2 linked regions of the Oryctolagus cuniculus genome follow. Each later gene encodes a partner of the first gene's protein in a complex. Links are inferred from orthologs where the notes say so. Each region holds a gene or a part of one and is shown in the gene's direction. Other genes may lie near its edges.

Region 1 (7,570 bases):
CCTTGATTTTGTAGCTCTAGCCTTCAGAACTGTGATACGACAGGTGTCTGTTGTTTAAACCATGTGGGGTGTGTGTGATGTGTGCATGCATGTAGTGTGTGTTGTATGTATGTGATGTGAGGTGTGTATGAGAGTTGTGTATGTGTGTGGTACATGTGTGGGGTGTGTACGTGATGTGCATGTGTCATGTATGTGTGTGATGTGTGCATATCATGTGTGATATAGTGTATGTGGTGTGTGCATGGTCTATGTGTGTGATATGGTATGTGTGTATCTGGGGTGTATGTGATGTGGTATGTGTATGATGTGTGTGTGATGTATGTGTGTATGTGGTATGTATGATGTGTGCATGATGTGGTGTTTGTATATGTGAGTATGTGGTATGTGATGTGTGTGTGAGACATGTGGGGGGAATGTGGTATATGTGTGGTGTATGTGTGTATGTGATGTGTTTGTGTACGGGTGGTATGTGTGATGTGTATATGTATGTGGTGTGTGTGATGTGTATATGTGGTATGTATGTATGTGGAGTGTCTGTGATGTATGTGTATGTGGTGTGTGTATGTGGGGTACAGGATGTGTGTGTGGGATGTGGTGTGTGTGTGGGATGTGGTATGTGTGTATGTGGTGTGTGTATGTGGGGTACGGGATGTGTGTGGGGGATGTGGTGTGTGTGTATGTGGTGTGTGTATGTAGGGGGTGTGTGATGTGTGTGTGGGATGTGGTGTGTGTGTGGGATGTGGTGTGTGTGTATGTGGTGTGTGTATGTAGGGGATGTGTGATGTGTGTGTGTGTGTGGTATGTGTTTGTGGGGTACGGGATGTGTGTGGGGGATGTGGTGTGTGTGTATGTGGTGTGTGTATGTAGGGGGTGTGTGGTGTGTGTATGTGGGGTGTGTGATGTGTACATGTGGTATGTGTGTATGTGGTGTGTGTATGTAGGGGGTGTGTGATGTGTGTGTGTGTGTGGTGTGTGTATGTGGGGTACGGGATGTGTGTGGGGGATGTGGTGTGTGTGGGATGTGGTATGTGTGTGTGTGGTGTGTGTATGTGGGGTACGGGATGTGTGTGGGGGATGTGGTGTGTGTATGTGGGGTGTGTGATGTGTATATGTGGTGTGTGTGTATGTGGTGTGTGTATGTAGGGGGTGTGTGGTGTGTGTATGTGGGGTGTGTGATGTGTACATGTGGTATGTGTGTATGTGGTGTGTGTGGGATGTGGTATGTGTGTGATGTGGGTGTATATGTGGGGTACGGGATGTGTGTGGGGGATGTGGTGTGTGTATGTGGTGTGTGTATGTAGGGGGTGTGTGATGTGTTGTGCATGTGGGGTACGGGATGTGTGTGGGGGATGTGGTGTGTGTATGTGGTGTGTGTATGTGGTGTGTGTGTATGTGGTGTGTGTATGTGGGGTACGGGATGTGTGTGTGTATGTGGTGTGTGTATGTAGGGGGTGTGTGATGTGTGTGTGCATGTGGGGTACGGGATGTGTGTCGGGATGTGGTGTGTGGTACGTGTGTGTGCTGTGTGGTACGTGATGGGGTGTGTGTGTGTTTAAGGCAGCCCGAGTTGAGTAACCAGCTTGCTGCTGGTCACCAAATACCTCAAAGGAAATCCTCCCTCCTCTTTCTGGGATCTTTGCTTCTCAGAGAAGACCTTCCGGTTATCAGTGACGTCACTTTCAGTGGTGACATTATGTGAACTAATTTCTTGTTCTAACAGCTCTGGGCGCTGTGTCTGGGTCGCAAACTTTTGCTTTTAGCCCCAGAAACCGGGATGTGGCTTCCACCCACCACCTGCCGCAGTCAGCTGTGTCGGGGGGGGGGTAAGGACATGTGATCGTCCACAGGTCATGGCGTCTCTAGCGCAGGCTGTGCTGTTGGTCTCTGGACACCGTCCACCATGGCAGCAGGGGGCCGGGCGCCAGAAGAGACCAAGCCCTACCCGGAGCCTGTGGGCTGGGAAGCTGGGTCTGGGCGCACCTCTCACGGCCAGACTTCAGCAGTCTTTTTCTCTCTGATTTTACTTATTTATTGCAGACAGAGAGAAGTCTTCCATCTGCTGCTTCTCTCCGCAACGGCCGAAGCTGCACCGATCCGAAGCCAGGGTCCTGGAGCTTCTTCCGGCCTCCCACATGGCCGCAGGGCCCCAAGGACTTGGGCCTGCTGCTGCTGTCCCAGGCCACAGCAGGGAGCTGGATCGGAAGAGCGGCCGCTGGAAACTGAAGGCGCCCACAGATGCCGGCGCTGCAGGCGGAGGCTCAGCCCCAGCCCCAGCCCCAGCCCCAGCCCCAGTAACCTTTGCTCTTAATGGTGGCCCTGCCCAGACGTTTGAGGGTGGAAGGGGGCTTGGGAGATGCCCTGCGGCTCCGCAGCGTTACCAGGAGGTGAGTGGCACCTGTCTGCTGGCCTGCTCAGGCAGGATGGAAACGGTTCCGAGCCTTGGGCTGCGGCTCATCCTGGTGCCGCCCACCGGCCCCTCCATCCGAGGTGATTAAGGTCGGGGGTGGGCGTGCCTTCCGCGGTTCCGTGGGCCCCCATCTTGCATGGGCCACGCGGCCAGGTGCTCGAGCTCCCACCCGTGGTGACACCCGGCCTGTGGTTTCACCTCCCACCGCCTCGGTTTTCTCATACGTGAATGGGTTGTTGCGAGGACTAGGTGTGGACAGCATTCTAGAAGTCAGCCAAACCACCGGGAGGGGGCTCCCCATGGTGGAGAGTGGACGCCCCAGAGGAGGCGCCGGCCAGGGAAGTGGCCGGGAGGAGAGGACCTGGTGACCCCAGCCCTGTCTGCAGAAGCCTGCGTGATGTGGACAGAGGACACAGGTCCCCTCCAGTCGGGGAAGGGCCTCTCCCGAGCCCCCCCCACCGCCTTTCCTTTACCCCCTAGAGAAATGCAGCCCCGCAGAAGTGGGGGGTGCGTGGCCTGGCCTCGGCCTGCACAGCTCAGAGGCCTGGGGCCGCGCGCGGGCGGGGGGTTCCCAAGGGGACTTGCAGGTGGCTCCAGGGCCCCGAGGCCCGAACTGGACCCTGACCCTGCCCACGTCAGCGCAGCCACTCCGGAGCCCAGGCCTGGCCCTCACGTCCCCGCCCCCAAGCCCGATCCCGGGCCCTGGGCTCCCCCAGCCGTGCACTCCCTGCGCGTCCCCGGGGCCGGGCACCCGCGACAGCCTGCGGCCCCGGGTCCCACGCGCGCCCCCGGGCGCCCAGACTGCGGGGTCGCGCGGGGACCCGCCCCGTGACGCACTTCCAACCGCCGGGAACCGCGGCCCGCCCGGGCGCGCGCCCGACGCCCCAGGGCGCGCGCCTCGTGCACGCGCGCCCGCCACGTGACCTCCCCCGGCCAACCGGCGCGCCGGGATTTGAGGGATAAAGCGCGGCCCCGAGGGCAGTTGCGGCGGGAGAGCGGCGGCCCGGAGAGCGACTGCCCCGCTCGCGCTGCTGCTGCCGCCGCCGCCGCGACCGCGACCGCGCGCAGCCATGTCCGAGGAGAAGCCCAAGGTAAGCCGCGGCCCGCCCGCCGCCCGCCGCCCCGGGGCACCCGCGCCTCCGCTCCTGGCAGGCCCCGTCCCCACCCGCCGTGGCCACGGCGCCCACGAGCCCCGCGCCCGGGCCCACGCCGCACGCCCGCCCCTCCCCCACGGGCCTCCGCGCCCCTCCCCCACCGCGGGCTCCGCGGCGCGCCCCGCCCCGTCCTCGCCCCGCCCCGACAGCGTCTGTCCCGGAGCCCCGCCCCTGCTCTGCACCCGTCGGAGCTCCTCCCCGAGCCCGCCCCCTTCCGCTTCTCGAGCCCCGCCCCTTGCCGGTTTCGAGCCCCTCTAGTCCTAGCCCCGTCCCGTCCTAGCCCCGCCCCCAATAGGTCTCTCCCGGAGACCCGCCCCCTTTCTGGTCTCGGGCCTCTTACGTCATAGCCCCGCCCCGAGAAGCCCCGCCCTGACAGCGTCTCTCCCGAGCCCCGCTCCAAGCCCCGCCTCCTGGCCCCGCCCCCGCTGTGCGCCCCCTGGCGCGCGTCCTCGAGGGCGTGTTCGCGTGGCCCCGTCCTCCGTCCAGGTTTTCCCGCGCGGTGGCCCCTCTCCTGAGAGAGTGGGAGTAGCCGGGGTCGGTAGCCCGCTGCGACCCCGGATGTGCTGCCGTCTCCCAGCGCGGCCCCGGGGTGCGGCCCTTCCCCGTCACAGCCCCAGGGTGCTCCCCCTCCCCGTCATAGCCCCAGGGTGCTCCCCCTCCCCGTCATGGCCCCGGGGTGCGCCCCCTCTCCCTCTAGGTCCCAGGGTGTGCCCACCTCCCTGTCACAGTCCCAGGGTGCTCCCACTCCCCGTCACAGCCCCAGGGTGCTCCCCCTCTCCCTCTAGGTCCCAGGGTGCGCCCACCTCCCTGTCACAGTCCCAGGGTGCTCCCACTCCCCGTCGCCGCCCTGGGGTGCGCCCCCTCCCTGTCACAGCCCCAGGGTGCTCCCCGTCCCCGTCACAGCCCCAGGGTGCTCCCCCTCCCCGTCACGGTCCCGGGGTGCTCCCCCTCTCCCTCTAGGTCCCAGGGTGCACCCCTCCCCGTCACAGCCCCAGGGTGCTCCCCCTCTCCCTCTAGGTCCCAGGGTGCTCCCATCGTCCCGGCCTGGGGTGGGCCCCTTCCTGTCCCGCCCCGAGGGCTGCCCTGGGTCAGGCCGGCAGTCCTTGGGTAGGTGGAGGCGGAAGCTCCGGTCTCTGAGCACGTGCTGGGGACCTGGGGCTCCGTGCTGGGGACCTGGGGCTCCTGCTGCAGCTGGGGTCAGAGGTGAGCAGCCCCCTTCACAGGTGAGGGAGGAGGCTGGAGCCCAGCCCCTGGCCGGGCCCTGCTTGGGTGAGGGAGGAAAGCCGGCATCTGGCCACAGCCTCTAACGTGTGCCCAGGGCAGGGCCCCCCGGCCCAGGTCCTCGCCCATGGCATAAACTTGCCGGTGGACGCCAGCTCTGCTCTGGCCGTGGGGCGTGGGCGTGCGGGGAGGCAGCCTTGTGGTCAGATGGGAAAACCATTTCTGCCCCCCAGAATACTGACCACAATGAATTGGGGCAATTGGTTTTAGGACTTCTTTTCCTCTTTTAAAAAAAGATTTTTTTCTCTCTGTCTCTCACTGTCCACTCTGCCTGTCAAAAAAAAAAAAAAAAAGATTTTAAAGTGTGTTTACTTGAGAGTCAGAGACACAGAGAGAGGGTCTCCCGTCGGCCCTGTGCGTATCCCAGATGCCTGCAACGGCGGGGCTGGGGCCGGGAGCTGGCAGCCCCACGCACGTGTCCGCACCTGCCCGGGCCGCATGGCCCTCCTGGCCGCTGCCGCGTGGACCGCAGCTTCCCTCCCTCCTGTCAACACTGCCTTCTGCTTCTCTGAAGTCACGCACAGCTGCGTGCAGTGTGTGGTTCTGTTAGTTTTGTAAAAGTGACTTTCAAACGAAGATGGGTTTTCCGACTTCTCCTGGGCCCTGCAGGCTCGGGCGTGCTGCTCCCCCGGGACGCCCAGCGGCTGGGGGTGAAAGTCCGTTCTGTGCCAAAACAAAGCAGCCGCCTGCTGGAGGGGCCTGGACGGAGGCGCCGGTTAGGTGGTGGCCATGACGTCAGTGAAGCCCGGCGCCCCTCAGCTCCTGGAGAGCGCCGGATCCTTAGAGGTGTTTCCTGTCCCTGCAGGAGGGCGTGAAGACCGAGAATGACCACATCAACCTGAAGGTGGCCGGGCAGGACGGCTCCGTGGTGCAGTTCAAGATCAAGAGGCACACCCCACTGAGCAAGCTGATGAAGGCCTACTGCGAGCGGCAGGTGCGGCGCCCCCCGGCTGCCTTGCCCAGGGGCCTTGCCCAGGGGTCTCGTCCCGGTGGCCCTGTAAACGGACAGGTGGCGCTCACCGTGGCGGGCCCTTCTGCTGAGACGCCCTCTGGGGCAGGTGCGGCGCCCCCCGGCTGCCTTGCCCAGGGGTCTCGTCCCGGTGCCCCTGTAAACGGACAGGTGGCGCTCACCGCGGGCGGGCCCTTCTGCTGAGACGCCCTCTGGGGCCGGTGCCTTCCGATGCACTGCCGGGCAGGTCCCGCGTCGCTCCTCGCCTTACTTCTGCCCGTCAGCAGTGTGCTTTGCCAGCTCGTTTAGCAACGGCGAGAAAATGATGGATCTCCCCCAGTTTCCCAAACAGCGAGCCGCCTCAGCAGCACCCCCCTGTGGTCAGTCAGAACGGCCGTTTCTGGTGGCTAGCGTTCGTCTCACCAGCTCATGGGTCGTACACGTCTGTGCTTCGACGGTCGTGGCGTTCCAGTCCGTGCCCAGCGTGCTCGTCCTGGGGAGATGGGCATCGGTCCAGTCCGTTGCAGAATTCCTGCCACTGCATGGCCTTGCTGACTCACGGCTGTGCTGGGACCTGTATGGCGCCTGCCCTGCCAGCCCGCCAGCCCAGCGCTGCCGTTGCTTGTTCCTTTGAGTGGCAGCTCAGAGCATCTGCTGACACTTAGCATGAGGCTGCCTTTCTTGATTCCTTTGAGAATATAGTGATTGCTACTTTTTTTTTTTTTTTTGGTGTATTTATTTATTTGCAAGGCAGGGTAACAGAGAGCGAGTGAGTGAGCGAGCTTCTACCTAGTACTTCACTCCCCCGATGTCTGCAAAAGCTGGGGCTGAGCCAGCCTGAGTGAGCCAGAATCGCCACCTGGCTCTCCCACGTGGGCGACAGGGACTCCGGTCCTTGAGCCGTCACCGGCTGCTCCGGGGCGCGTTAGCAGGGAGCGGCCTTGGAAGCAGAGCAGCTGGGACTGGGACTGGCGGGTGACCCAGGCGGCAGCTTAGCCCCCACTGTTACTGTTTGGTTTTGCTCCGTTGGTTTGGTAGTTCTCGCTTTTGGGTTTTTTAAAGGATAAAACGCTTTGCAACAGTTCTCTGCCGCCTTTTCCCGCCCCACGTTTGAAGCCTGGCCCCTGGGAGGCGTCGCTGCCGACTCCTTCAGCTTTCCCTTTCACTCAGGGTTGGGAAATTTTGCGGTTTGTTCCCTGTCTCCTGGGCTTATTTATTTATTTATTTTAAGATTTATTTATATCTGAAAGGCAGAGTTACAGAAAGGCAGAGGCAGAGAGAGGTCTTCCACCCACCTGTTCACGGCCGGAGCTGGGCTGATTGAGCCAGGAGCTTCTTCCAGGTCTCCCACGCGGGCACAGGGGCCCAAGGACTCGGGCCATCTTCTGCTTTCCCAGGCCACAGCAGAGAGCTGGATTGGAAGAGGAGCAGCTGGGACTCGAACCGGCACCCACATGGGATGCTGGCACTGCAGGCAGCAGCTTTACCTGCTACGCCACAGCGTCGGCCCCTGCTTGGTTTCTATCATAGAGGTTATTCTCAGCTGTGCCCGGGGAGAGGGAGCTCTGGCCCCATGTTCCCTGACAGAGCGAGTGCCCCTGTGAGCAGCCGAAGCCGGGCGGCGGGGCTGGCTCTGTTCTTACCGCCTGTTTTCCTGGTGGTGGTTTGGGCGACTGCAGGCGCCCATGGCAAAGCCATCACGCATGTTCTGTGTTCTATGTTGCGCTGCGAGGTCGTCCTCCGTGGCCGCCTGCTGCTCCCACATCCCCACCCGGACCC
Region 2 (7,512 bases), on another chromosome or scaffold:
TGTGAACCAATGTTCCCAAGCTCTTACCCTACACATTGCTCCTTCCACTTCCTTTCCTTGATCACCAGCTCTCCCAGTCATGATTTCAAATGACAAATGCTAAAAATTATGAGCAAATACTGTTATATATTTAATAGGTGCTGGGAGTGATTAATGAAATTGCTGAATCTCAAGGAAGACCTTTTTAGTCCTAAATTCCTTCTGAAAATACAAGAGTTGAACTAAATATTCTCTAAGGTAAACCATCAGAACAATGACAAGGGCAGGCCTACCACATGCATCATAAACTATCACTTCTAGTGTATTACTGGAGACAACAGAGGGAATTCAACACATGTCTGCAGTCAACTGATTCTGATATACACATACTTTCAAAATATTTACTTATTTTCATCCACTATAAAAAGTAGAATGACAAGAGTTCTTCCATATGCTGGTTTTCTCCCCAGATTTCCACAACAGCCAGGACTGGGCCAGGACAAAGTCTGGAGCCTAGAACTCCACTTGGGTCTCTGTGTGGATGGTAGGGACCCAAGTACTTGAGTCATCACCTGCTTACTTCTAGGGTGTACATTAGAAGGGCAATGGATTGGAAGCAGGGTCAAACCACTCTTCAACATGGGATGTGGCATCCCAAGCAGTGGTTTAACCTGCTGCACCACAAGCCCTGTCCTAATCAAAAAGAATTGTTTCTAAGCTTTAATATAAATTGCTTGTGAACTCAACATTGAGGCAGCAGTGACGGCTCAAATGCTTGGGTCCCTGCCAACCACATGGAAGACCTGGGTAGAGTTCCTGGCTCCCAGCTTTGGCCTGGCTCAGGCAGGCTGTTTCAGGTATTTGATAAGTGAATCAGTAGATGGAAGCTCTCTCTCTCTCCCTCTCAATCTCTCTCTGTTGCTCTGCCTTTCAAGTAGATATAAATATATAAATAAACATTAACTAAAAATAATATTTCACATGCTTGTATATCAAACTTGCTGACGGAAGTTCGGGAAGCCAACCAGCAACTCACAGATGAGGGGACAACTGATGCAGTAAAGAGGAAAAAAACCTGTGCTTCCTGAGGTGGGTGTTCCTTTCTCTAGTTTTCCAAACGACCTCTCTCTTCCCCTTTCTCACACACTCACACTTTCTCCCTGTGTCTTAGCTCTTATTTCGAGTTTGGTAGGTCTACCCTGGCTGACCACCCGCGCTTGAGTACCTCACTCTCCAACACTCCTTTGCACATTGCTACCCCTCATTTCCCCGCATGCCTCACCAGTTTGAAGATGAGGTATGCCTTCCTCGGTGCCTGGGTCATCATCAGTGTACAGACTCTGGGAGGCATCTGTCTTGGGTGGTGGCCTTGGTATGAGCCTGTTGGAAGTCGAAGCTTCCGCAGCTGAGAAGCAAAGAGTCCTGGGTTACCCTCGAGGTGAGACTCAGGGAGGAGCACTCCTTCCTCCCGTTCATTTTCTGACTCTCAGCTGTCCATGACACTCTTTCCATAAATCCAGTGAAAAATAAGAGAAGCAGTGACTCTTCTCAACAACCATCTTTCGTCCAAAGCAATCTATCCCTCTGACATAAACGGGAAAAGCAGAACACAGCCAGATACTTGCCGAGGAAGAGGTCATTTTTCCTTGGGGCTTGACTGACTTTACAGGTTTGGGGTGTCAATGACAGTGGGAACTGGGACTCCCAGAGGTGAGCCTAGACTAAGGACCCAGAAGCCAACAGCCAGCTCGTGGGCTCTGCCTCTGGTTCTCTCTCAGCTCCCAAATCCTCCTTACCTGCTTGGGCCTATCCACACACTTATGCAGGTGCTTGTGTTAGGAAAAGGTAAGACAAGGGAACACACCTGGCCACTTGCCCCTGACGCCTGTTCTGAGACTCCCATCCAAGAACCCAGGCAGTGCGCAGGAGCACCGTCAGGAGACTCAGGTACCTGTGCTTTGAGGAGTCCTGACTACCTGGTGAGACCGAATCACACACATGAAAAATTTCAGATGAAATTCCTCTTCACGCATGGCTGTCTCCTAGAGAGACAGAATTAAGTCCAAATGAGCAGATCGCGCCATGATTAGGTGTCCATGACTGGCAGGAGCAGGTATGTCCAACGGTACCGGCACGAGGCCCTAGCGTGGAGCCATCCAGACACTGGCGCGCCAGGTGGCCCTCACCAGCCCGCCTCAGCACCGCGGGACAGGCCTGGTCAGGCAAGGCCCGCCAGTCTGAATGAACCAACAAGCGGACCCCCTCAGCATGGCACGGGCTGCAGGTCAGCCAGTGTGCTCCCGGAGCGAAGGCCCGGGTCCACCCAGGAAAGCAGGCCTGCGTTTCCACACGCCGCCAGGGCCGCCCCCAAAGCGCCCCCCGCGCCCCCGACTTAATCAAGCGCGGTGCGCTGCCAAGTGAGGAACCTGCTAGCCTCAGCCAGCTCTGACTGCCTCTTCTCGAGTGCGCACGCTCTGTAAGCCTCCACGGGACCCGCCACAAACTGAGACCTATCGGGACCCCGGGTCCCCTCCTCTCAGGGCAGCCGCCCGCAAGTTCCCGCAGACCCGGGCCGCCAACGGGCTGCCATGGAAACCGCAGCGCGAGCCGGGACGGCGGGGCGGAACCAGAGAGCGGCGGGTAAGGGGGCCGAGGGACAGAGAAAAGAAAGGACCAAGGGCGCGCCAAGTATTCCGAGCCTGAGGAAGAGAAACAGCACAAGCAGGGGGCAGCAGGGAAGTCGTGACCGCAGCAGTCAACGCTCCCTCGCCTTCCGAGGCCTCGCCGCACCGCGCAGGCGTCCCGCGGGCCCCGAAGCCCGCTGACACCCCCCCCCCCGCCGCTGTCGCCAGCGGGCCTTCCGGCGTTGTGAAAGCGGTTCCGGTTCGCGGAGGTTCCCGGGTTTTGCGTCCCGCGACCGGCCGGAAACCCCCTCGCATAGCAGCCGGTTCCGGTTCGGTGAGTGGCGGCGGGAAGCAGGGGGAGGGGGAGGATGGCGGGAGCTGGGCCGCGAGGCCGAGTCGGGCCGCCTGGCCCCGGCCGGGAGGGGGCGAGGCGGCGTCGGGCCGGCGCGTCCCCCCGGCCCCGCCCCCGGCGCCCCTTCCCCTGGCGCGCCGCGGGCCGGCGGGTGGCGGTTCGCGGGCGCCGCGAGGCCGGGGGTCCGCGCGCCGCGCCGCCGACTGCGGCCCCACTCGGCGCCGCCCCCCGGTGGGGCTTTCCCGCCGGAGCGGGGCTCCTCCCTCGGGGCGCTCCGCGCGGCGCGCCCCCGCTCACCTCTTGCCTGCCTTGACCCAGTGATGGCTCGCGACTGCTCGTGCGTGCCGCGCGCGCCTCTCCCCTGCGCGGTTGCCCGGCGGTCCCTCCCCGAGATGTGCGACCGCTAGTGCCGCCGCCAGACAGAGACGCCGGACGCCCCTGCCCAGGCGGGAGACCCGCTGACCCGGCTCATCGCCGCCCGGTAATTCCTGGGGCGCCGCCTCCCCGGCGACCCCGACGTGAGCCCTCCGGATCCGAGCAGGTCCCGAGCTTGGTGATTTCTGCTTATCAGCGCCTCTGCAGGATTCCCACTATCTGGCCGGCAGTAGCCGGCTCCTTTATCACTTTGGAGTCAGCCTCGTTAGTTGTTGCGGTTCACGTGGAGTTCACGCATTGTGTCCGGGGGCGGTGGTGATTCCTTGAAATCTACCGAAAGCCGCGGGTGGGGGCTCACGACTCTGGCCGGGGTCTTTGTTGGCGTGGGCTCTTCCGGGCGGGGGAGAGCTCCCCATCCCCTCGGTTTTGGCCGCGCCGACTCTGACTCGGGGGTCTCGAGCCTCTGCTGAGATGCGCTCCCTTCACCTTCCCCCGGCCGAGGGACCGACCCCTCCCCCTGCGTCGTGGAAGCTTCATTCCTGCCTGTTCAGTTAATTACCCCACTGGTGTCTGTTCGCTGAGGGGTGAAGTCAGGGGGTGGATGGCACACAAACAGGTTCTGCTGCTTCTGGCTACGGTGATGTAACTCCTGGCTGCGGCCCCGCAAGTCCCCCACCTGCGCACCTAGGAAGGCCCCGCCTCACCGTCCCTGGCTTCTCCCAGGCAGAGACCTGTCCTTGCTCTGTTGGTGTCCCCCGCAACCGCCCGTGCAGCTGGTGCACAGTGTTATGTCCGTGTATGTTAAATAGCCAGTGCTTAGGACCTTCAAGATGCTAGGGGCCAACTGGGAGAGATGACCGAGGTGGGCGGGTGTGGTACAGTGTCATACACACAGTTGCTTCCCAGGGTAGAGTGATACCCTAAATTGTCCCAGCCTCATCTTGGTCCTGGGTAGTGTGGATTTCACGGTGCCTGCCCTAAGTACATGTTTTCGACTGACTTCATTATAGCCTAAACAGTCTCAATTGTAATCCCCTCTTTGTGTGAACTCAGACATGTTTTCCTGTACATTTACATTATGTTACAGTCAGAACTGTATCATTTTTTAGATTTTCAATTAATTATCTTTTTTTTTTTTTTTTGACAGGCAGAGTGGACAGTGAGAGAGAGACAGAGAGAAAGGTCTTCCTTTGCCGTTGGTTCACCCTCCAATGGCCGCCGCGGCCGGCGCACCGCGCTGATCCGATGGCAGGAGCCAGGTGCTTCTCCTGGTCTCCCATGGGGTGCAGGGCCCAAGCACCTGGGCCATCCTCCACTGCACTCCCTGGCCACAGCAGAGAGCTGGCCTGGAAGAGGGGCAACCGGGACAGAATCCGGCGCCCCGACCGGGACTAGAACCCAGTGTGCCGGCGCCGCTAGGCGGAGGATTAGCCTAGTGAGCCGCGGCGCCGGCCCTCAATTAATTATCTTTTGCTCAGTTTCTAATCTGATTCACCTCAAATACTGTAATTGTTTACATCCTTTTTGGTTTTTTGGACAGGCAGAGTTAAAGACAGAGAGAAAGGTTTTCCATTTTCCATTGGTTCACCCCCCAAAATGGCCACCACGGCCGGCGCACTGCACCCATCCAAAGCCAGGAACCAGGTGCTTCCTCCTGGTCTCCCATGCGGGTGCAGGGCCCAAGCCCTTGGGCCATCGTCCACTGCCCTCCTGGGCCACAGCAGAGAGCTGGACTGGAAGAGGAGCAACTGGGATTAGAACCTGGGATGCCGGCGCCGGCCGCTTACATCCTTTCAGTAAATTAAATGATCAGTATGTACAAGGAAATTACTAAAATTGTTTTTAAGAGAAAAAATTTTTTATTTAAAAACTTACGTATTTATTTGAAATGGAGAGTTACACAGAAAAAGATTTTTCCATCTGCTAGTTTACTCCCCAATGGCTGCATTAACTAGGGCTGGGCCAGGACAAAATCAGGAGCCAGAAGCTCCTACCAAGACACCTATGTGGGTGGGAGGGGCCCAAGCACTTGGGCCATCTTCCATTGCTTTCCACAGCACATTAACAGGGAGCTGGATTGGAGGTGGAGTAGCTGGGACTCAAACTGGAGCTCACATGGGATGCCAGCTCTGCAAGTGGTGGCTTAACCTGCTATACCAAAGTGCTGGTCCCGAGGGAAAAAAAATTTAATTCGAAAGCCAGAGAGACAAAGATAAAGAATCTTCCATCTGCTGGTTCACTCCCCAAATGGCCACAACAGCCAGAGCTGGGCTGATCCAAAGCCAGGAGCTTCTTCCTAGTCTCCCACATGGGTACAGGAGTCCAAGGACTTGGACCATCCTCCACTGCTTTCCCTGGTGCATTAGCAGGGAGCTGGATAGGAAGTGGAGCAGCGGGAACTCAAACCAGCATCCCTATGGGGTGCTGGCACTGCAGGTGGCAGCTTTACCTGCTATGCCATAGCACCGGCCCCTGGGGAAAATTCTTATACTTGAAAGCATTTGGTGGTCTGAAAGGTGCCAGATCCAGCATTGCATGGAAATTCTTGGGGTGAATACTCCCTCTCCCAATTTAAGTGTAAACTGGCAAAAATGAACCACTGATGGCACACTAGAGAAGCCAGATAGGTTTGTATGACCCTGTAAATGTAGGGCTTTAATTGTTTAAAGTGATAAATCGGTGTGGAGTCCCAGGTTTAGCTAAGCATTACTTGCAAACTATACGGTCTTTGCATGAGGATGGGTTAAAGGAAAGGAAGTGTGAGGTTGGAAATGTGCATTTTCCCTGGGTCTTTCCTTGGTTCCATCTCGGTGACTTCAGATGGCTCATTTAACCTTTTTGGGCATAATCTCTGGGTTTCTAACTTGCTTTCGTCTTCACATCTATGTCAGCAAAATGCAGAGGGCAGTAACATTGGATTGTGGTGCTGGGCTTCAAACTTTTAGATTGGCATCTTCTTAATAAAAAAAATAAAAAACACAAAGAAGTTGAAGTGACCTGAAAGAGTGAAACATGGAAAAAGCACTAATTTACTGATTGATGTGATTTTCTCCCTTAATGTGGAACCCAGGGAATTCTCCATTAAAAGAAGAGAGAAAGGGAAGAATGACCTGGAGAATTTACACATAGAAGCCTTTTTTTAGGTTGAACATTTGGAAATGCACTTGAAGCCTAAATCTAAGGCCTAGATTCTGTGGGGATCCTGTCTGGCAGGACTAGGTAATGAGGTGGTGATAACTGTGCTTGGCTGTCACCCTCCCTTTGTGCGTGTCCTTCGCCATGGCGACCATGAAGCACACCCGTCCCGTCAGCGACATTGGTGCCCTAGGACTGGTGTGAGGATGAGGTCGTGCTCCATCCTTTTCACAGAGGCTGTTGAGATCCTGTATAGATGCAGGTGTGCTGTCTCTTCCAAGAAGCAATGTGCCAAGGGCACATCTATTAACCTAGGTTCAAGAAGTTAGGTTTTTCACTTCTGTTTTTCTGGAAAAAGTGAATACATCAGAAGAGAAAGTATTTTTGTACAACAGTCCCCTTTACCCAAGGTTTTGCTTTCCATAGTATTAGTTACCCATGATCAGCTCTGGTCCAGAAACATTAAGGGAAAGATTTCCTATGTTTTTAAATATTTATTTGTTTCTTTGAAAGGCAGAACAACCAAGAGGGGCATGTGGGCCGGGGTGGGTGGGGAATAGATTTTTACCATTTGCTAGTTCACTCTCAGTTGGCTACAACAGCCAGAGCTGGGCCAGGCTGAAGCCAGGAACTCCCATCTGGGTCTCCCACATAGTGACAGGGGCTCAAGGACTTGGGCTATCTTCCACTGCCTTCCCAGGTTAGCAGGGAGCTGGATTGGAAGCAGAGTAGACAGGACTTGAACCAGTGCTCTGATATGGTACGCTATTGTCATAAGTGGCATTTTAACTCCCAGTGGCTCAACACCTGCCCCTTGATTATTCTGTATTTTGAGAGACCATATTCACGTACTTTTCTTGTAGTATATTGGTAGAATTGTTCTGTTTCATTGTTTGTTACTCTGTAACTGTGCCTAATTTATGTTGGAACTTTACATCAGCTGTATGTATGAGTGCACTTAAGAAAGTTTATGGGAAAATAAGATTTTGAAATCCATGCAAACCAGCAGTTTTAAAAAATTTGTGGAGGGGCCAGCGTTGTGGATTT

The links. The genes of interacting proteins can lie anywhere in the genome.
Region 2: the proteins of SUMO3 (region 1) and SENP1 are in contact, whole or in part, in a crystal structure (PDB 6NNQ), measured with the Homo sapiens proteins. The link is inferred for Oryctolagus cuniculus from reciprocal best matches to the Homo sapiens genes SUMO3 and SENP1. Residues at the interface, in NP_008867.2 of Homo sapiens: Gln24, Ser53, Arg55, Gln56, Arg58, Arg60, Asp62, Gly63, Pro65, Asn67, Thr69, Asp70, Gln74, Glu76, Asp84, Phe86, Gln87, Gln88, Gln89, Thr90, Gly91, Gly92; in NP_001254523.1 of Homo sapiens: Gln440, Asp441, Glu446, Arg449, Leu450, Thr451, Lys455, Trp465, Leu466, Asn467, Asp468, Glu469, Asn494, Thr495, Phe496, Lys500, Arg511, Trp512, Lys514, Lys515, His529, Gly531, Val532, His533, Trp534, Gln597, Gly600, Ser601, Asp602, Cys603.

The regions. Positions count from the first base shown.
Region 1 is NC_091435.1:1,755,270-1,762,839, forward strand, and holds the start of SUMO3 (small ubiquitin-related modifier 3), read left to right. Parts: upstream 1-3,315; 5' UTR 3,316-3,477; coding exon 3,478-3,498; intron 3,499-5,647; coding exon 5,648-5,776; intron 5,777-7,570. UniProt on the Homo sapiens protein: Ubiquitin-like protein which can be covalently attached to target lysines either as a monomer or as a lysine-linked polymer. Does not seem to be involved in protein degradation and may function as an antagonist of ubiquitin in the degradation process.
Region 2 is NC_091440.1:137,668,291-137,675,802, reverse strand, and holds the start of SENP1 (sentrin-specific protease 1), read left to right. Parts: upstream 1-2,637; 5' UTR 2,638-2,937; intron 2,938-3,252; exon of another isoform or gene 3,253-3,436; intron 3,437-7,512. Other genes in the region: PFKM (ATP-dependent 6-phosphofructokinase, muscle type), read right to left, coding at 1,262-1,384, 1,931-2,012. UniProt on the Homo sapiens protein: Protease that catalyzes two essential functions in the SUMO pathway.